3 linked regions of the Drosophila melanogaster genome follow. Changing the gene in region 1 together with any one later gene gives a genetic interaction. Each region holds a gene or a part of one and is shown in the gene's direction. Other genes may lie near its edges. The genes, in order: Hk, eag and para.

The links.
Region 2: of Hk (region 1) and eag, changing one enhances a phenotype caused by changing the other (phenotypic enhancement), as found in Drosophila melanogaster (one study listed by BioGRID).
Region 3: of Hk (region 1) and para, changing one suppresses a phenotype caused by changing the other (phenotypic suppression), as found in Drosophila melanogaster (one study listed by BioGRID).

Annotation. Positions count from the first base shown.
Region 1 is NC_004354.4:10,251,833-10,259,426, reverse strand, and holds the start of Hk (hyperkinetic), read left to right. Parts: upstream 1-2,758; 5' UTR 2,759-3,251; coding exon 3,252-3,315; intron 3,316-3,836; coding exon 3,837-3,934; intron 3,935-4,254; coding exon 4,255-4,707; intron 4,708-5,119; coding exon 5,120-5,424; intron 5,425-7,594.
Region 2 is NC_004354.4:14,952,565-14,960,186, forward strand, and holds the start of eag (ether a go-go), read left to right. Parts: upstream 1-2,912; 5' UTR 2,913-2,985; intron 2,986-3,300; 5' UTR 3,301-3,565; intron 3,566-7,622. Other genes in the region: CG9030 (uncharacterized protein), read right to left, coding at 1,637-1,882, 1,984-2,157, 2,220-2,432. UniProt on the Drosophila melanogaster protein: Structural component of a potassium channel. Mediates the potassium permeability of membranes; potassium current is regulated by CaMKII and CASK. Has a role in growth of the perineurial glial layer of the larval peripheral nerve.
Region 3 is NC_004354.4:16,522,612-16,530,145, reverse strand, and holds the start of para (paralytic), read left to right. Parts: upstream 1-2,731; 5' UTR 2,732-2,869; intron 2,870-4,730; exon of another isoform or gene 4,731-4,924; coding exon of another isoform or gene 4,925-6,844; exon of another isoform or gene 6,845-7,179; intron 7,180-7,534. Other genes in the region: Cnx14D (calnexin 14D), read left to right, coding at 4,925-6,844. UniProt on the Drosophila melanogaster protein: Mediates the voltage-dependent sodium ion permeability of excitable membranes.

The DNA of each region.
Region 1 (7,594 bases):
ATGAACCACTGACACGCCCTAGGCGCTTCTCTATTTGGCTAACTGGATATCTGGCCATCTGGCAGTACCATTGGAACCATCCATCCCCAGTCGGACCCAGCCTCACTCAATTCAACGCACGTGCCTGGTCATAGACTGGAAAAACAGTTCAACTGGATAACTGGACAACTGAAAAACCACTGAGGTCCTTCCACAGGCTCACGCACACAAGCGCAAGCAACAGGACTTGTTTATCGGTGAGTATTCCACCGTGGAATCGGATTGCGATAGGTTTCGGTTATGGAGGATCACGGAGATTTGAACTTTTCAAAAGAAATGATTAAAGAGATAGCAGACTTTAACAAAGGTCTAAAGATATTGCATACTTTTAAACACCTTTATTGGTGCCAAATCCGTTTGATCCTCCCCCATTGAGCCCTGCATATGGGACCCTGACTAACCTATACCACGTCCTCTTTCCAGACAGCCCCTCGGTTGGGCCCCACTCCAAACTGGCCCATCAATTTTGGTTCTCCTACCCGCCACCGGGCGCTGGCGGCGGTTCCTCAAGTGAGTCTTACGGGTTGCGCATGCGGGGCAGCACCTTGGACCCTCCACTATTACTATTCGTAATACTTCCCATCCCTAACCACCACCCCACCCCCAAAAAAAACGAAAAAAAAAGAAAAAACAAACAAAACCGATTCCCACTTCGTTTGTGTTGTTCGTCCCTCGATGTCTATGTAATCTAATTGATCGATATAACCGAAAGCGATGATAATACATTCATATATAGCCCGTGTATAGTCTATAGGGAGTGCGATTATCGTTTGTTCTTTGGTTCCACTTCTTTTTTGTATGACTAGGCCATCCTGTGAGTCCTCTCTCTGTATATCTATCTGTATTTAACATATATATGTATCTTGTCTGTACGTATGTCTGTATGTGGTACGTTTGTTAAGTGACTCCTCTTAGATGTGAAAGCCACATAAAGTATATCTCTCTTTACATATATAGTCGATGATAACCAATTCCTTCTTTTCTTAATGTTACATGGGTATAACCATATATTTTGCCACATACCAAATATATTATAATATAGCGTAACTGTAGTCAAGGCCCAGAAAACCAGAGCCAAAGAGAGAGGTAATCCGGCTTAAAGGATAAATTCGAGGATAATAATCCCTTATTTTCCTTGGTTTTCTATCATTCGATAGTCCATACAAATAGATTTTATTTTGGGGCTAGCCAAAATTCTTTTATTGTATTAAAATACTAAAAAACAATGTCTATTGGCTCTCCCCAATCAATAAACATAAGATTTAGTTCCGATTTAAGTACGAAATAATTGAAGATTTATTTGTTGTACTTCTTTTCTTTGCTCTTCTTTGATTGTATTGTCTTCTATGTTCAACACACAATAAAAAAAGGAATCATAAAACTAAGGAATCACGTCTAACAAATACGAATTACAAGCGAAAGAATACAAAAATAAGAAAATACAGAATTAAATCGAAAACGGAGATCTCTCCCTTTCAGTCTCTCCTCTCTTTCTATCTGCCTATATGTCTATCTCTTTCTTAAAAGACACACTCAGACACACCGCACTCACCTAACGGTACTAATACCATTCCAATCGTTTCGGTACGCGTCGCGATCGCGTGTAATCAATTGCCAAATTCGACAAGAATCGTTACTAAAATATAATCAAAATCAAATTCGACACAACAAGAACAACATCATCACCACAAGTACAACATCAGAAAAAAAACACATTGAGGTAAGGAAGAATTTCTTTCTCTTTCTGTCTCACACAACCCGCCTCTCTCCGTCTCTCTCTCTCTCTCTCTCTGTCTTTGTCTCTCTCTGGTCTCGTAGTGTTGGCTTAATGGAAATAGAAACCATTAGGCCACAAACAGATTCCCATTAGAAACCCCATAGACCAAATGAAACCAACTACAATAAGCCCCCCCCCCCCCCCCCCTCTACATAGCGAGTTCCGTTATTCCGCTGTTCCGTTCCGTTGGTTGTTCCGTTACGTTACGTGTAGTTCGTTTCGTTCCACGTTCCTTGTTTCCCCTTAGTTGTCTTACATTTTTCGGTTAGTTTTTGTTTTCGCATTTTTCGTAGAGCTTTGATGATGATAATAATAATGACACTACGATGATGATACTACAAAATGAAGACCCTGATGCGTCTGTGTGTATGTGTGCAAGTAGTTTGTGAATGGAACGGGGTCAAAGGTGGGCCAGGTGTAAGCTTGTGGCGCTCAACTAGCGGCACTCGGGCCTCTTTGAAGTCATCAAAAGGGTAGAACAAGATAATTGCATACGCTTGAAGCTTGCGAAAAGGTTAAACAGATAACTAGAATATAAAATGAGTAAACTGTGTAACGGCAATTTGAGTATTTGCCAAGGCTTGGGGCTAAAAAGTATATACATATGCTATGGAAAGTAAACCGGTTTTCTTCGTTTTGCATAGAAAATGATGTTTTATACACACACAGGTAAATAAGTGAAAAATAATAAGTGAAAAATGGCTTTAAATATAACTTAAAAAATTCGCTTGCAATTACAACTTTCCTATGATCAATTTTAATCCACCACAACACAGTGACTCAAATAAGTGTTTACTCACCGCTTGTGACGCACTTGGTGAACTCTTGTGCTCTTGTGGTGGGTTGAATCGGTTGAAGCCAAGGCCAAAGCTCAAAGCTCAAATATTCATGGGAAGCATAAATGTACGAGGCAAGCAAAACGACGGCAGCAAACCAAATGTTGAGTGTTAGTCGAGTAGAGGCCGCTCCTCAAAGTGGGAATGCTCCGAAAAAATAATAAAAAGAGGAAAAAAACACCAATTTAAATAAGTCAAATAATTAACGAACGTGAGAAATACAAAAATGCAAACAAATGGCAATCGTGTTGATGTGTAGATATTGAAATTGATATTGACTGTGAATTAACTTTAATGCAATCAGTGTGCCCACCGCAATTCCAAATTACGTGCGTGACTTGGTCACACTACCGCAAAATGCATATCTGTCTGGTTGCCGCGAACACTCGCAGCTGGGCATTAATCCTCCCGAGAAGATGACACTAATTGGGCCGCGGTCAACTTTGGTTGTGTTTAGTGTTTTGGGTTCAGTGTTTAGCTTTATGTTTTTAGTGGGCCGCATGTTGGTGCTCAGTGTCAGTTTCGCCTGGCTCTTCGGCCGCAACTGACGACTGTTGATTCCGTGTGGGCTTTTCACCTGTCGAAAGGTGCGAATTAGTATGACACCGCCTCGGCTGAGTCGCTATTTGATGGCAGTGCGTGGTGGGCGCGATGGGGAGCAGCGTAAGTAGGGGGGCGTGGCCTTGAACTGTGTATATATATATATATATATTTATATATAAAGACATATATTTGTAGTTGAGAGCGTGTGTGTGCGTGTGTATAAGAGTGCGAGCTGTAGATGTGCATGCTGCAAGTTGTTTTATCCGACCATTTAGAACTTTTCAACTTGCATGCTTAGTGCTTGAGTAGAGGATGACAGTAAAATAATTGCAAATTGAAATACAATAATGAGAATCGATTGAAACAGTTTGAACATGGCCTCTTTTTCTCCCCCGTCTCTCTCTCTCTCTCTCTCTCTTTCTATTCTTATGGATTTCTTGGATTATTTCTATGTTTTTCATATATTTCTAACATTTATGTTTCTACATTTTCTCTGTCATGTTTTAATCTATCCTTTGATTTAAATATATTTTGATATGTTCTTTAACGTTGATCCATTTAACTTGAATTTTTTTTGATTGATTTACTATTATTTCCCTTATTTGTTAATCATTTTTTAATACTTTCCTTAAATTATATAGACAGCAAGAACTCGCAGACCGACGAAGAGAAGCAACGCGATCGACAGCGAAACGAGCGCGAGGCGAAAAAGGAAGAGCAGGACGCTATCAACTACAAGGTGAGTGTGTGTGTGTGTGCCTCTCTCTGTCTGCCTTCTCCCTATCTCTTTCTGTCGCGGCCAATTCGGTGTGCGTGTGTGTGTCTACCGCGCGTGCAAACAAATTAACAATTTGATAAAGCCAATGTAATCCCTCAAAAGAAAAAAAGAAAAAGAAAAGAGTACCAAGAAAAATTATAAAAAAAAGTATAGATAAGAAAAGAAAGCAAATCCAAATGAAGCAGTAATTGAAAATGCAACAGCAATAATAACGATGGCCATGCGATAATCCATTAAACCTGATAGTAAGAATGCACTTTGCGACAATTGCATGCAAACAGCGCGACAAGGAGCAACGCGAGGCCCGTCTGCTGGACTTTGAGATACGCCGCCAGCAGAAGCGGGACGAGCAGCAGCAGCAGCGCCAGCAGCAGCAACAACTGCAGCAGCACCGCGAGCATCTGCAGCAGCAGCATCGCGATCAGCAGCAGTCCAGCGAGAAAAGTCCGCCCACCTCGTCCACCGCAGCCGCCGCCCACCAGACACATTCGCATTCGCAGCAGCAACAGCAGCGGCAGCATTTGCATCTGCAGCAACAGCATCTGCAGCAGCAGCAACAGCAGCAGCAACAACAGTCAACGGGCAGCGGCAGCAGCAACACACCAGTGACCCCAAAGTTGCAGACACCTCCCCCCGATCGATCGCTGCCCCCCGCCTTCCGGAGTCGCTCCATCGAGCGGGAGATTCTTTACGAGCGGAAGCGATTCTCGCAGCCGGAAACCGGCGAGATCAAGGTTTTTCATCACTAACCACCACTAAAACCCCCACTGCCTTAACCCCTTTTTAGAACCCACGCCCACCCATCCATTTCATTTCGCACCTGCCAGCTGCAACTTTTCCATGACCGGAAGGTGGACAAAAGAGCCCGTTAAAGCCTTCAAACTTTTGCTATTGGCATGAATTTCATTTATTTTATAGATTTAGTTCAATTGAATTAATTTATAAATGTTTTTGATAAGCTATCTTCATTTATGATTGGTTGGGTGATCACTTTACTCTTTAAATAAACGTTATAGTTTTCTTTGTAGCTTAAGAAACTCAAGGAACCCCTCTATTTTAGATCCTTTGATACACCGCTTTTGTCCACCTTTTCAATGATGAGCCGCTTAGCTAAATATACTTTCTTTGGGAACTCACTTTGAACAGGAGCTCGATAGTACGACATCATCATCCTCCACACAGCAGACCTTCCCTGGCAGCGCAGTCGGGGCGGGCAGAGGAGCGTCAGCAGCGGTACCTGGAAGCGGGACAGCGATAGCGGTTGCAGTAGCAGGAGCGGGAGCGGGACAATCGGCGACATTGGCGGGGCCGCCGGCAACGGCCGCAGCTGCCACAGCTGCGATCATACCGATTCTGCCGCTCGGCGTTGCAACGCTGCGCGATGATTCCACCGAATCTGAGCAGTCCGTGACCTGTGCGCACAACCAGCTCGATGCCTACCACCGCATCATGTGAGTACAATCTAACAACTAGCCGCAAAATATATGTATTATATATATATATAAGTTTGATATAAAAGCCAACTAAATTGTACACTACACCAACAAGTTTTATTATGTTGGCAAAACCGACAAAGCAAAAATCCCTTGCCCTGCTGTGCAAAAGTCAAAAATTGTCCGAAGCAGCCATTGTCCAACTTTGAAGTCCTTTGTTCTAGCAAAATTCTTGTGTGGCCTGATTTCGCACTCCAAAATCAATGAATGCCAGACGAGCATCACATACAAAGTGTAATGTAATAAAAGAGCGTATTAAATTTGATCATCATCGTGTAAAATGTCCCCATTCCTATGAAATTTAACTGAATATGGTTCATTGACGGGATTGTCAGCGTGGAAAGGCAGTAAATAAGGCGATAAGGGTATCACTCTATTAAACCGATTTTATGGTTCGATTTTATTGTGTGTGCTGAAGAATGAAAAATCATGACTCTAGCTACGAACTCGATGAAAAGTGATTTACTTATTAAAAAATAACACTTTTGCTTAATATATATTTGCATACATTTGCTTAGGTATTTAATGAGTAACAATTTTAGCAGAGGATATAAAAAGTATCTACAAATTGCCATATTAAAGAAGTAACTTAAATGAACACGAACTGTTTTCCCAGAAAATGTAAATGTATCCGCTGTCGCATCTTATTAAGTGTTCTCGGCAAAAGTGTGCAATTATACAGAATCGGATTATTTGCATTTTCCTTACATTGTTTGAACTGCGTTTCGCGGCATTAAGTCAGGCCACCTTGTTTTTTTTTATTTTCTTCTTGGACTTCTTCCAGAAGCTTTTACCTCGTCCAAGTGAAATGAGTGATTTTCGTGGCACAATTGTTTTTATGACTCATACAATTAAATAACAACAAAAGGGCATTCAATGAAACTTTTTGCGAAAAGTTCGAAACAAATCTGAGTAGTGCACTTAACCCTGAAAAGTATGCTACGAAAGTTGCATGTAGAATCCGTGTAAGTGGCATGTAAAAAGCGAGGCATATCAAGTATACGCCATGTAATACAGCAGGCAGTTGCATTTGCATGCCACAGATGGCGCCCACGTGCAGTGGGCTAGGTGCATCGCAAAATAAATGCATTTCAAATGAAATCTGTGTTTGCAATTCCAGCAAGAAATTCAGAATGCTATACAATATTTCTATTTAGTTATATGTTGAAAACAAATGAAAGGTTAAAGCGTAAAAGAAATCATTCCAGGTTAATTAAGAAATCAATCCAGGTTAATTTTTAATGGAAATTCTACAGTAACTTGATTTAAACGCCGCGGTTTCTATTCTAACGTAATTACTATGCGAGCACTTTGCGCGCCTTAAGCTTGATGGGAAAATTAGCAAATAACATGCTTCTGCGTTGGCCTCAAATTAAAATGGTTAATTTTTCATTAAGGCCAAGTCATTAATCGACCTGCCAGGTAAACCCCATCAGCGCACAGGTGCATTTCCGACCGTTTGTAGCCGGGAGAACCGGGGTTTTATTATATTTGATTTGGCACAGCCTGCAGTCTGCAGTCCGCTGTTCCGGCAATCGGATCGAAATTGAGGCATCTAACCGTAACATCATCCAACATTTATGTGCAAAAACGAAATCCGAAACGCAATCAATTGCCGTGAGTAAGTGCCTTTTAATTGCTACGGGCTTCTGTGAATTAATTTTGCTTGCCGAGCGCAAAGTGTAATTTAATATTCCCATGCAGTTAGATTCATATTTTATATGGCCCACATAACGCGGCGCGGCTGTGTATTTAAACACTTATATCCATTGAAAGCTGACCGGGGGTGTTGGTTATGGCCTTTGGCAAGTGACTTCTTTGCACTTATACATTATTCATTATTACTCCGGCGCCATTTGTGCAATATTTGGATTCGTTCCAGCCCGGTTCCCAAGCCAATGCATTAGCCGCAGTCCTTGGCCATTTATTTCGATCAAAAAAGGGTGGCTTATAATGGGGCTTTTAGAGTGTTTCGATGCACTTTTATTAAAAGCTAGCTTCCGTCACAAAGGGTTTTCTAAACAGTGTTTAGATATTTTTTATTTAAGAAGCTAAATCCGGAATGAAGAATCCTTTATTTTTTTAATCAACTTTATTTTTGCCAAAACTTTGTTATATTTATTTTAGC
Region 2 (7,622 bases), 4.7 Mb from region 1:
CGCATGTAATGTGCTTTTTTTATTCGCATAACATTTCAAACAGCATTTTTAATGCACCACACACACTATATCTCGCTCTTGCTCTGCCCCCCGCCCACATCTACAGTTGAGCTCACAATTATAGCACCACAGGCTTATTAATTGTGAATATTGAAAGTATAATGGCTAATTAAATTAGTAAACGTGCTATAATGGATCACTAATGTATTATCTGTTAAGTTTGGTATAACCAGTCTTAAATATAAATCATGTTTCTATGATAGAGATCTTCGAAATGTTAACGTTTCGGATCATTTTTTTTTTTAAATAAAGCGTAAAGAACTACGTGGGGCTTTAAAGGTTATTTTAAAAACTAAATGATAAGATCTACTTATGTAAATAATAAAAGATACTGACTTCGTTTGTCTCAACTTTCTCTTGAGACTTATAAAGAAGCCCAACGATCAATAAGTAATTTCTGTGTAATGCCAAGAGAAGATTTTATGATATTTTGCGTACAGATGTTGGATATGCTAAAAGTTCGAACTAGCCTGTGCGGGAGCATGCAAAATGTGTGCGTTTCGCGCAAACGAGTCGTCGTACTTTCTTGGTGCTGTTTTGTGTTGAACTTTGGACCCTGGCTCAGCCCCCTTCCCCTTATGACCGTTGAAAGCGGGACCAAAACAAACTCCAAAATGTTTATCTCAGCAAACCAGTTTTTCTCAACTTCATTAAGACGGTTGCATGTGAGTTTTTGGCTTCGTTTTTCGTTGCTTTTTTGTTTTATTATTATACGTCTGTTTTTCTTTTCATTTGCTGCAGCTCCAACTTGTTTATCTTGGCTATTTTCGAGCTTGGTTATGGGTGGGATTTAGATTTCAGAGGTGAACCCAACAGCCTTTTCAGTTGTTTTATCAGTTTTTAGTGGGGGGATTTGCCACAGGTTACAGTTTTTCGTCTATCACTCACGCAAACACCTGCGCACTAATTCGGTAATCTGTTGTGCTCAGTGTTCGCTGGGGAACTGCCACCAACTTGATGCTCTGTCCTAAAAAAAGGGTGCCGTGGAGCGCGGAGGTGGCGGGTCTGAACGTCTTTGCAACGTGCTCTCTTGAAAAGAGAGGTAGATGGTGAGCGAACACGCTGCTTGCGGGGGTGGGTTTAGACATCAGTAATGGTTATTTAGCCATTTTTTTTTTAATTCTATATTTTTATTTTTATTTTATAACAAATATTTAATAGATAGATAGAAAGTGACAGTATTACATTTTGTCATATTTCATGATTCCTAAAATCATGTTTAGTACCAATATTAATCATTACATATTATTAAATGGGTTTTTTAACCTCAAAAAGAAGCTTTCAATTCCTATTTAAAACAGATCTATTTATTAAGTTCCTCTAAGCCTAAGTTGTTCTTTAGGATAAAATGTGATCCATAAAGCTTAAAAACCAAAAGCTTTATAACAATTGAAGCGTTAATAACAATGTTGCACATGTGCGCTACCTGTTGGTCAATTGCCATTACTCGGCACAACATCCAGGTGGCGCTGTTTTTGTTAAATAATTAATTTTTTTTATTACATTTTGTTAATATGAGAAAAATACAGTACGACGTAAAATGTAGTTAAATATTATTTTCACTTATTTTGACAATTTATGGGGCATATCTTTCCATTGACCACCAAACAACATCCTGATAACCGTAAAATTCGATCAGTTGCCTGAGAGTCGACCGCACAGAAAGGACACAGTACAAGTTGATAACCGGGATCAAAGTCTTGAACAAGAAGCCGTTGCCTATAGTCCTGTTCACTAAGGCATCTGACAGCACCAATAATATATCGATGGATGTAATGGTGGCATAAATCACAAACCATGGACCAATGTAATGCGGCTTGAGCTGGATTCAAATAATGTTTACAATATATTAATGGAATTCAAAGAAGTTTTTGAATAGATATCGTTTTTTTTTTTTTTGTATATGATATTTTTAGTACTCACGGTGGCCAAGGCGTATAGCAGTATTGTCCACGCCGTTAACATTAAAATGCATCCGATGATACGAAAGCGGCGCAATTGCTTGTATTTGAAATTCTTTACCTTCCTTAGCCGATGCGACTTCTTCAGATGCGCCTTCTTGAACAAAATGCTTATGAATTCTAGACAATTGTGAGTCTGTGTTGAGATAGGTGTAATAAATGCACATCTGAAATATAAAGCAATTTGCATATACGCACCGATCCAATGATACTAATGCCCAGAGCATAGTAGAACATGAGGGGGAATATCTGCTCGGAGAACCAAAACAATCTGCCTGCACGCTGATTGTTCGCATCGAAATTAGGCGGGAACTTCCAGATGGAGTATGTTCTGCAGGTGGGTAAGGGTATATCCATATACCTGTGCGCAATGTAGCATAGCACATCACTGAGACACCTTTTGGTATACATGGCGAACTCAGCTAAAGTTTGTACAAATCAATTTTCAATCACAAAAGATGCCTGAAAAATGAGTACAAAATTTTGGTGCAAAGGGAAATGGACTGACTGACTGACTGAAGGGTGACGAATAAAAAATGGAAAAGATTAGATCATTAAAACGTGGCCAACTACTCTCTCTGACGACTATATCATTTTTCCAGTGAATGGAGCTCTTTAAATTCGCCCAGTTTATTTATTTGAAAATCGATAGGAATCGTGTTTCTTTGCCATTTAACCGTTTTTGCCATACGTGCTGATATATCGATACTAACGTGAGTAGCGCCACCTAGCGGGTGGGTAGAACGCTGCACACCATCGATGATTGTCAATGTGAAAGTAACGGTACAATCGGCAGCGACATCGATGTTTTCCCAGCTCTAGCAGCGCGCAACTCACTCGTAGTCGACTTTTAGGTGCGTAGTCGCGAAAAACTATGAAGACGCAACTCTCGCGTCGAGCGGTCCTCAGAATCCGGGATTCGTCCTCCAGTTCGAAAATCCAGCAAATAAATCCAGCATTTTGTGTGCGCCAATCGAATACGATTTTTTTTTATTTTTTTTTCGCCTGAAATATTTTGAAAATTACAACAGTGTAAACGGTGGGAGGGGGTGGTGGTGTGGCGAGAGGGGATTTATGGAAGGGGGAAGTGGGGGCGCCGCGCACGTGTCGACGTCGCAGTAGGCGTCGCAGTCGGCAATTGTTGCACGCTGCTGATCCTACGCGTTTCTCGTTTCATGTTCTTTCTTGTTTGTTGTGTGCTTCTTCGTGTCCCGTTAATTGTTGTTTCTTCTTCTTGTCCTCCTCCACCACCACCTTCACCTACGCTGCTCAACTGCAGTGCAAAGTGAAACGCGAAGAACGCGTTGCAGAATAATCACATCGCAAATACGGCGAAGGCAGGAAAAATTGAAAAGAATTGAAGAATCCAGCGAAAACCAGTGAAGAATCGGAATCAAAGAAAGTATCGGAATCAGCGGAATAACACTAAAAATAAACATACTTATATATATATTAAACATATATATACATATATGTATATATATTTAACCACCATTTAAAAGCAATCAAAAAGCAACTAAACAAACAACAAAAAGCAACAAAAGGTAATCACAAAAGGCTAGGACGAAATATTGTGTAATAAACTTGAATTTCTTTTACTTGCCGCAAAGAAATGGGGAAAAAAATAAAATGAAATAATATATAGAAAAGGAAGCTAGCGAAAGGGGAAGAGTGAGCGAGAAGGCGGCATAAACACACTTCTAATTGTAATTGTTGTCTTTTGTCGTTCTGCCGGCGTCGCTGTCGGCGCTAAAACTTTTTCCTGGCGGCGCAAAAGAGACAGCGCGAACGGCGAAGTTTTGCCCGAAAGAAAATGTAAGGAAAAGCAAAGAAAATTGAAATGAGCAGGGAGCCAGGAGTCGGAGTCGTGGAAAAATGGAACATAATAAGTTAAATTTGCGTGCTCTTGGTTTTCCGTCGATTCATGCTTCGTTTTTTCATTATTTATTTATTCAGTTTTGCGCTGGTTCCTTATTGTTTTCTTAATTTCTTGATGTTTTTCCAGCTATTTCCTACTCCCCGTCATTGAATGTGTGTCAGCCAACAGAAAATGAAATGCGCAATTATGTCAGCAAGCAAATAAAGCGAAAAAAGTTTTAGCAACTACATCAATTGCTTGTTTTTCAAGTGCAACCAACACACAAGCACTCACACACACGCACACACAACGCACTTTGCGGTTGCATAAGTGTCAAACGCAACACACGCTTACAGTTTGACAGTAATTGCGCTCAGAAGTTCAAAAGACAACAAAATACGTTTATTTTTGTGGGAAAATGAAGTCTGTATTATTTAATCAGTGCACTTATGCCCATGTGGCAACTTAATCTAGCTGCAGTGAGAAAAAGAAAACGGTCCTTGAGCAGAACACCAAATAAGTGTGCTATAAATATAGTTTTTACGAATTTCAGATATGCAGTGCGCCTATGCAATACGAATTTAACTTTGCTGCCAACTGAATTTGAAGGAGTATTTGTATTGTATTTCCGGTGCTCGCAGAGCAAAAGGGTATATTCGATTCGTATATGTTTAAGTGATAAAAGTTTCAATGTAAAGGTGAAAAAGAGTGCAAATGTGGGTGGCCTGCGTTAGTTGACATCCGTACAAGATTGATATTGATGCCCTTTACACCCACACAGGCGCAACATTACAAACGCTCCCAAACGCACACACTTACATATGTATACTCTCACAGACACACACATACTGTGAGTCACAGCAACAGGAAACGGGTGAAACTACTTAAATATTTAAAGCATTTGATGCCGAAAGGAGAGGGGGCGATAAACAGAGCGAGACGGAGAGGGGGAAAATTGAATGGGTCGGCCCACTTTTTGCGCCTGGAAGTATGCAAACAATGCCAAATGGCACCAGCACAGAAATGCCGAGTAAATCTTGAGAGCAAGTTTTCCGCCCGCCGAAGAAAACGCGAAAAACCCACAGCCAGGAGAAAATAAAAGAACAACCAAATTCACGAGAAGAGCCCAACAATTTTGTCACGCATGTGTGGCTACAAGTGTGTGTGTGTGTGTGTGTGCCTGAGCGTGCGTGTGTGTTTGTGGGCCAAATGAAAAGAGCCAAAACATTAAAAATGTACCAGCAACCACAACAACACAAATGACAAAAATAACAAGAATAACGGGAATAGCACAGGAAAAGTCCAAGCTGACGGGCGCCGCAATTTGCTGTCAACATAAAATAAATAAAATAAAATAAAAAGAACAAGAAGCAATACCCACACACACACACACGCACATATGTATATGGCCAGTGTGTATGTGTATATATCTTGTTTATAAATCTTTTGTACACTTTTGGCAGTTGACTTTTAGCGCCGACTGTTCCCATTTTCCCATGTTTTCGCATTTTCACGTTCTTTGTAATTTTCAATTTTACTTTGCGCATATTTAATAGCACAAATCGTAAATTAGATTCGCCACACATACATATAGTCCTATTTGTGCACTGAACGCAAAATATGCAGCCTTTAACGGAATAAAATTAAATATACATATATTCTAAGCGATTTATTTTGCAAACTCATTATGATCAATATTTAATTTACATACAATTTTCATACAATTCAGTTAAATATCGAAATTATCTAGAATCTCCAATTTCTATCAGTGTCTTTTCCCTAGCTCCCACTTTTATTACCCAAAAGTTAATGAAGTGTAAGTGTTGTGGAAGGGAAAGGCCCTAGGAATATCCTGCCTAATCAATCAAGCGGCACCAATAAGCCTTTAAACAGATTTGCAAATTTAAAGCATTACGTACTGTGCACGAGCATTTGAATGGTTTGCCAGCGGATTTCCATAGAATATGTTAAATGCCTAACTGCCACCCGTCACTTTTTATATTTTATTCTTTCCCTGACCCTCCGCAAGTGTTTAATGTTTGACATCCGCTGGCATCCGTGTTGCCTTGCCGTCGCTTCCGTTTCCGGATGCTGCTGCACTTCCCCTGCGCACCCTGCTCTTCAACTAACTGCATTATCGCTTATCTACACTGAGCGGAAATGCGGTAATTCATAAATGATTTGCTGCTTCGATTGGCTCATTTATTTTTCGAAGCAAATCATATTTCACCAATTACATCTATTCCAATTGCTTGTATATAGTTTTAGATATTATTTATGTTTTTTATTGAACAGTGTATAAAAATAAAGTTAAGCCTCATGGCTTAATATTTATCCAGAAGCTTCGTGGCAGGTCCCGCCATATTTTTCTACTGAGGTTTCGTTGCGCAGGCAGTGCGGCACTTATCGCTTATATATATGTACAGTGAAGCCAGACCAGTTGGACCACCTGCTGACTTCCTGTCAGATTGTCAGATTGTCAGACTGGTTAGCTTGGCTTTTGGCTGCGGCTTCTTTGCTGGCAGCTGCTCGCAGGACTCGGAAAACTCGCTCCCCGCGTCCTTGTCCTCGTTGACCTTGTGCCCGAGATTTGGCTGTCTGTCGTATCAAAACAAGTTTATTAACATTCCACTGGCTATCAAAGCGGTGCTGTGCTACGCACCCCCGGCCCCATCCCGCCAAGGCAGTTGGCAGGTGCCCAGGGGTTGGGGGCTTTGGGTGGATAGACAATTACATATGTAAAATGTGGCCACAGTTTGGCAGTCATTGGGGCAAATGGGCACGCCGTCCTGTCGCCATAAAATTGGAACCGAAATCCGTAGCCAGCTTCCAAGGAAAAAACATAGCCTGAAAATGGCAAAGCGAAGTATTTTTGTTCTTCTTGAAAAGCTGTATAAAATTATTTATAATTTTTTATTTAAAGCATAAACTCTTATTGAGAGCAGATCATTTTCTAAGTAAATTTAAAAAATCGTATGATTACATATCCAAAGGTTAATGCAATAGTAAATGTACTCTATGTAATCCAACCATTTTTCAAAGTACACCTGCTCTGAGTGCATTTGGTGACCTTTTAGGGAGTACATTTGGACTATTTCGTATATATTTTTGAGGTAGTACAAGAGCCCTAGCTGAATTCAAATCCATAGAAGCTGGAAGAGGCCAAAGCACGTGCGCAATATGTAAATTTATTTATTTCTCTGTTGTAGCTCCTCTTTTATTTTTGCCATTTCTGCTGTATTTTCTCTCAGTTTTTGGCTTTTTGGTTTCTGCTCTTCTTGGCCCTTGGCTTGATGTTGTTTTTATGTTAATGTGCCCGGCCCAATGTGAGTGTGCGTGTGTGTGTGTGGGTTAGTCCCTAAGCTGTTGGTTTTACTTCATATGTGTGTGTGTGTGGTTGTGTCCCGTCCCGCTCCTTCAAGATCTTCCCTCTCATGTGCTTGCTCATTGCTTTTAATAGCCAACAACACGCCATGCATTAATTTATGAATTTCGTGTTCTTCTGGGCGGCCGAACTGGCAGTAGTGGGCGTGGCCTTTCCGCCCACCCGGAAAGCTTTTATCCGAAGAGCCAACAAGCCGCAGAAATAATTAAAAAGAAAATAAAGGCAGCTTGCAAAAAGAGACAAAGACGCATGCCGATTCCTTGCTTCACAAGATTAAATAAATTATTGTGTGCAGTTGTTACGCATTTACCGATTTCTACTTATGATAAAGACTATTCGAGTTTAAATATAAGGTTTA
Region 3 (7,534 bases), 6.3 Mb from region 1:
CGGAGCACCACCAGTCACCAAATGGCAGTCGCAGTTCAATCTGCCCCTGGGTTGTGCGTGTTCAATTGGCTTCCAGCCCCATTGTTGTTCTTTGCTCGCCCTTTGCCTGTTGTTGGCTTTTGGTGTAAAAAATTTACATAACCCAAATTGATGCATAAATAAATTATTAAATACGTGACGTGCAAATGGTCAAAAGACCAAGCTAGCAGCCATCGAGCAGCAAACGCAAGTCGAATAGCATGTGTGCAAGGCTCTGGCCTTTGGCTTCCATTGTGCGAATCCCAAGGGCTTGCAATCAGGACGCAATCCAATAAGGAGATTGTGCTCTCGGTAATATTGCCATCCATATGCGACCTGCGACAAATGTCTTATGTTACGCGAAGATCCTCACTGCGAATTCAATTAGGAGCAAGGCCAAGGTTCATGATCCAAACGAATTCCAAATCATTGGCTCCCATTATGGATGAAACTGTGATAAATAAACATTAGTCCCAAAGAGAAATTGGCAATTTAAAGGTTTCTAAGTACGCTATTGAGTACAACTATTGAGTGCCAGGAAATGATAAGTCCAAACTTATAGTATTACACACTTAAGAATGAAGTCAATTAGGTTAAATTTATAGCAAGCTTAAACGCTTCGAAAACAGTTTCCTGATTTAAAAGCATTATTACTCAAACTCCCACAAAAGCTGCGCGCTTTGGTGACCCCAATCCAGTTAAGACACACACACACACACACACAGTTAAACTCCATTGTTTTCAATTTGTTTATACATATGTATGTACTTGTCCATTTGTAAGGACATTAGGAACGCAGTTCCTTAATGTGTGCAAATGGGTGGGCTGACTGGTGACTTGGTGACTTGGTGACCCCGCCACCGCTGGGTTAGATAAAGTTCGGATAGGATCGATTGGTCGGTGTCCAAGATGGGGGGCCCCGAAAAGCGGGTCAGCATGATTTGCGATTATAGCTGATGCTCCATATTCTCGGGCCACATTAGTTATGAACGCAGTCGGACTTGACTTGACCAGTCCAACTGGTGCCAAACGCCCAAAAATAATGACCCACTGTTGCAATTTTCGGGCAGAGCAGAGCCGTGGAATATCAGCTTGATGACCTAAAAATAGAACAAGTGACCAAAGACAAATAAAAAAATGAGAGTCGGCGATGGCGAATAGTATGTGGCAAATGGCGGAGAATAGCGAAGGGCGAAAGGATAAGCAGCGAAAAACAGGGTGGCAAAGTAGCACAACAAAACCTGTGTTGACAACGACTTGGGTGGTTATATATGGCAAATGCTTTAGGGCGAAAAGGACTTCTCACACACACACAAACACACACACGCGCGAACTGCTTCTGCTCCTTTTCGCGGCAAATTCGGATAAAAGGAAGTCACGGCGAAACGGCGGACAACTGCCTGGTTCGCCCGAAAACGGAGTTACCCAGAGAGGAGGAACTTTTTCAGTGCTCAGTGCTCGACTTTTTTCCGCATCCTTGTGTCCTTTTTCAATACTGCTCTGCGTTTCACGTGCGCGCGAAAATTGCATAAACACAAACAAGCCGCGACTCGCTGCCTCGACATTTTTTTTTACAGTGCATCCAATCCAGTGAGACATTATCCTGCCAATTGAGTGCTCATTTTACGTTTTTTTTTTCGTGTGTCTAAGTGAAAGCCATCAAGTGTGTGAATACAATTTACAAGCCCATTTTAAATATCTATTGAAGAAATATAACAAGTTTAGTAGAAGGAATCAAATAAACTAACGACATAATTCACATAATTGGCACAAGGACAGCAGAAAATCTAACATATAAAAAGAAATAAATATTAAAAAAAATAATTTCAAGCCATTCAAACAATACTAGGGGGTGCTTTTAGTGGGCCATACAAATTATTCGAAATTTTTTCTTCCGATAATATTTTTTTCAATTTTTTTTACATTTCTGTCACCTTTTGTGAATGAGTTTTCCCATCAAATTTTCCAATTTAAGCTGGGTTTCAACAACTTGTTCGCTTTTCCGCAGGCGACGCTGACGAAATTGAAACTAAAACCGAAATAAAATCTGCAAATAATAATAATAATACTATTAGTCATAATACGGAAAACCAATTATAATCATAGCAACAGTTGAGAAACCAAGCCGAGGCAAACTCATTTAAATATCCCAGCCAGGTAGCCAGATACTAGTAGAAATAATACAACAAATAATATTAACATTAACTATAAATAATAAATTGAAACAGCTCTGGGAACAAAACGCAACGTTTGATGAAAATTTCTGGCAACACGTCTTGGTTGTTGTTAAGCACGCAAAAAAATTAAATAAAAAAACCAATTCAAATACCCAATGATAATGCAGATTTAACAAACAAAACCAAAACAAATAAAAGCAAACAAAAATACAAATATAAAAAAAAAACCAAACAAAAAAACCAAAAAACAAAACAAACAACAAATTCATCTTCTACTTGTTCTACCGCTTCAACTTTATTCGTCTTCGTCTCCGTAATATATATATATATATAAAATATACATATATATATATTTATATATATATATATCTATGTATATGTATGCATATGTGTGTGAGTGCGTCGCGTGTGTGTTGGTGCCTGTAAATGTGTGAGCCACAACAACAACAACTACAACAACAGCAGCAGCAGCCAGAGCCACAACCACAACAACAACAACAGTAGTTAACAGCAGCAACAATTCTTAGCAGCAGCAGCAACAACAACAATACAAGCAAGCACGCTCACAACAAAAGCAGCAACAGCAACAACAACCACAATAGCAACTACAGCAACAACAACATCAGCGGATAGAGCGAGCAGCCAGGCACAACATCGATAGACATCGATTAACGGTAGGTAATCGAAGGCAATCGAAAAAATCCATTTAATATGTATTTTATTATCACATTCATTGCACTTTTAATTATGCTAATGATATTTAACCCTAAACAGAGGAAAAAAAATCGTGAAATTTTTTATTTGTTGAGTTTCAACTATTTCCGATACCTTGAATGATTTATTCTTAAGACTAAACGATCTTTCGAGTCTAAAAGAACCACTTTTATGATGAATTCTTACAATTAACACATAGTGGAAATGTATTGAAAATAATTATGTTATCTATGTTAGAGCAAACAGGCTAACAATGTGTTATATTAGAAATTCTCAGCTCTTACTTAACTTACTTCTCAGCTCAAAACAAAGTCATTAATTTACTTTTCATTTTGGTCAAAGAGAACTACATTTTACTGGGTCAATGGTTCAACTTTCATTGAAAGTTTTTAAGAAACCCACATTTGGTATTCCCATCGATTGCAATTTTAATATAGAATACCAAAAAGGGCAATTTACGCTGCACGTCAAATGAGAATTTAGAAAGCAATTGTGTCTTTCGTATGTATTTCAATATTTGAATAGCTAGAAAAGTGTGAACGGAGCAGTGGGCGACTTGATGAACTTGGCTCGATTATGTCATGCCTCCTTGGTGAAAATCCCAGTTAACCAGGCCCGACCTCAAGACCATATCAATGGGGTATCTGCGCCCCTTTTTGTCCCGCCCACTGGCACGCCCCTTTGCTTTTGGGCTACAACCTTTTGCTGGCTTTTGGAGGGCAAACTTTCAGCTGCCACAAAAAAAAAAAAAGAACAGAGCAGAGCAGAGCAGAAAAAAATGAATGATGAAGGTTGAGGGGGGGGGGTGTTTCTAACGGAATTCCTTTGCTCACGCACACATTGAAAGGAGGTTCGTTAAGAGAGAAGGGAACCCAAAAATGTATTGTTGTAGTCCGTGTTTGTTGGCGGCATCACACAGAGAAGTGAGAGCGCAAGAGAGAGGGCACTGGCTCTCTCGGCGCAGGCAGGAGGAGAGTGAGAGTCCTCGCTCTCTCGCCAGCCCATTGCGCTCTCCCATGCAAAATTCATTGACTAACAACATGCTAACTTCGTTCAGTTTTTTGCTGTTTCTGTTTGTTTTTTTTTTTAGTTTTTTAGTCCTTTCCTTGCCATCGAATTTTGTTCAACAATTAATAGGGTAGCAGATATTCTGTGTTATATTGCCAAATCGATACCTTGGGTTGGCTAAGGAAAACGTTTTGCGTTTCGCTCATGTGTTTGTCATGTGTCATTTGCATATTGACACAAATTCCGGCTCGGGTTGTTTTTTATTTCAATTCTTGTTTGCGGTTTTTCGCATGACTCATCGACCCAGCGAATGGCCAAAAATTAATTCGGCAAACAGAATTTTGCGAGTGTCATGAATGGAAACAGACACACATAAATATATGCTCATATTGGCACATCCACTGCCACTCTGTGTGTGTGTGAGAACGCTACCCTATGCTTCATGCCTCCGTGTGTGTGTGAGTGTGGCGAAATATCGAACTGACCTACTTTTATGCTCGATACACACACACACACACACACGCACACACACTGGCGCGCTCACACATACACACACGCAGCCAGATTGGCAAATGGAAAAAGAGTGCTTTGACCTTAGCGGAGGCTGCTTATGTAAGCCCAATATCCGAAGACCGCAGGAACATCCGTAACCGAATCTAGATTCAATTCTCACATTTTCTGTAGTAGCGGTAGAAGGTAGTGTTAGACCGTTTCAAATAAATGAAGTGCTTATAATATTATCTACATTTTAAAAATCATAATCGTATTACCTATTACTAAGCTATCTATGTAAGTCAAATCCAAAATTTATACAAACAAGCAAGCGGCGTCAATAAAGTCATACGCATTAAGGCTCAGTTCAGTCAAGTCAACCACTTTTCACAAAAAATCGTTAAAAATCGTTAATTTCTTCGAACGTCGCTATATTAAAAAAACGCAAGGCTCAATTCAGTCAATCCTTATCTATTCCAACTCTGAGTAAGCGAGCAAGCGAAAAGTGTGTGAAAATGGCTTGGAAAATGCTCTTCGCCATTTTGTTGCTGCTGAGTGCGGCCAAAACCGGCTATTTGGCCCCGGAGTCGGAAAACTCTGTGGAGGATGTGCAGATAGAGCCCGGCGCCATCTATGGCGATGAGAAGTTTGCCTACAAGAGTCCGGTGATCGATGCCGAAAAGTTTTACTTTGCGGATCACTTCGACGACGTGGAGGCATCCCGAAAGAGATGGGTACTGTCGCAGGCCAAGAAGAACGACATCGCCGATGAGATAGCCAAATACGATGGCATCTGGAACTGGGAGTCTCCGCAACGCATCTTTTGGGCAAACGATCTGGGTCTGGTGCTCAAGTCGAAGGCCAAGCATGCGGCCATAGCCGCCCCCTTTCGCCAGCCGTTCGATTTCAAGTCGAACAAGCCGCTGGTGGTGCAGTACGAGCTTACGTTGCAGGAGGGTCAGGACTGTGGCGGCTCGTATCTGAAGCTTTTGTCCGCCGGAAAAGGCACGGAGCAACTAAATCGCTTCAATGACAAGACACCCTATACCATCATGTTTGGTCCGGACAAGTGCGGCAACAATTTGAAAATGCACTTTATATTCCGGCACGTCAATCCATTAAATGGCAACATCACCGAAAAGCACTGCAAAAAGCCAAATGCCCGTTTGGGAGTGCCATTCACGGACAAGCTACCCCATCTCTACCAGCTGGTGGTCCGTCCCGATAACAGCTTTGAGATTCGCTTAGACCACAAGATCATCAAAGAGGGTTCCCTGCTGACCGACTTTGTGCCACCAGTCAACCCACCGGCGGAGATAGATGACCCCAATGACCACAAGCCAGAATCGTGGGATGAGCGGAAGAAGATCCCAGACCCCAATGCCCACAAGCCCGAGGATTGGGACGAGGATGCTCCACCACATCTGCCCGATACCGATGCCGTCATGCCAAATGGCTGGCTAGAGGATGAGCCCGACATGATTTTCGATCCAACTGCCATCGAACCCGAAGATTGGAATTCCGAAATCGATGGCGAGTGGGAGGCTCCTCTGGTGGAGAACCCAGTGTGCAAGAAGGCCCCCGGCTGTGGCAAGTGGAAGGCTCCGCTCATCCCCAATCCCAACTACAAGGGCAAGTGGAGTGCACCAATGATCGAGAACCCCAACAACCAGGGCAAGTGGGCTCCCAGGAAGATAGCCAATCCAGACTTCTTTGAGGATCTGAAGCCCTTCCAAATGACGCCAATCAACGCTGTGGGTCTGGAGCTGTGGTCCATGTCCAGCGATATTCTCTTCGATAACCTGATCATCACGGACGATGTGGAGTTGGCCCGTGACTTTGCTGCCAACAGCTTCGACATCAAGCGTCTCTACATCGATCGTGAATCATTCGGGAATAAGGTAGTCGAGCTAGCTAGGGCCAATCGAGCGATCTGGGGCATTGTCATAGTGGCCATTGCGGTGCCGGTTGCCATTACCATCTTCTGTAAATTTGGTTTAGGCCCGAGTAGGGTTGCGGCTGCCAAAAAAGCTGCTGCTGCCGCGGCCAAGAAGACCGACGATCCTCAGCCCGATGATGACCTGGGGGCCGAGGAGGAGGAAAAGTTGGAGAAGGGGAAGAAGGAGGAGGAAAAGAAGGAGGAGGAGGAGGAGGAGGAGAAGGAGGAGAATAAGGAGGAAAAGAAGGAGGAGGAGAAGGATGACGAGAAGGAGATGAAGGATTGCGAGGAGGAGGAGGATGACGAGGAGAAGGATGACGAGGAGAAGACCGACGAAAGGGCCGCTGGTGATACCAACAAGGAAAGCACACCGCTGTCCGCTAGTCCCAAGAAGAACCAAAAGTCTTATTTAGATAATAACGAAGATGAGGAAGACACATTAAAGAACAAGGAACCTACCCCAAAAAAAAGGAAGCGTAAAGCACTCAAGGAGTAAGCGGGCATCCGTAGTCACTGCAACTCTAAATAAGAAACTAAATCGAATTCCAAGATCCAACTGTTGCAGAGCACCAACAACCAAATGATCAAGCAAACGTAGATTTTAAACATGTTCTAATTTCGCCAAAAGAGCCGACATCTCGATCAAACTACACACACACACACACTATCCCACAAACACACAGACACTATTTCACAAACACACACACACACTCTCCCACACACACACACTCTCCCACACACACACACACACTCTCCCACACATACACACACACACATACACATAACACATCCAAATCCAAATAAAATCGGATTAAAAAAAAAGAATTGGGTGTGAAAGGGAAAATTGTTTGAAGACGGAAAAACAAGCAAATTTCCGCGATCTTTTCGCTGGTGGTAGCATACTTTTCTGGGCTGCTGCTGAGAATCCTTGGCAGCAACTCAAGAAATCGCAGGGATTCCGACTGCAAGAAGCAGTCGCAGTACACTGGAAAACGTGGTTCTGGCGATCCAATGATGTTACTTTACTTTACTTAACACGTGAGCATAGGGTAACGTGCGATATGCCCCAAGGATCAGTATTCGGGCAACTGCTGTGGAACGCCATGTACGATGGTGTGCTGAGGTGGCCACTGCCAGAAAGAACCAAGGTGATTGGTTTCGCGGGCGTTATTGCCTTCGCTGAGTG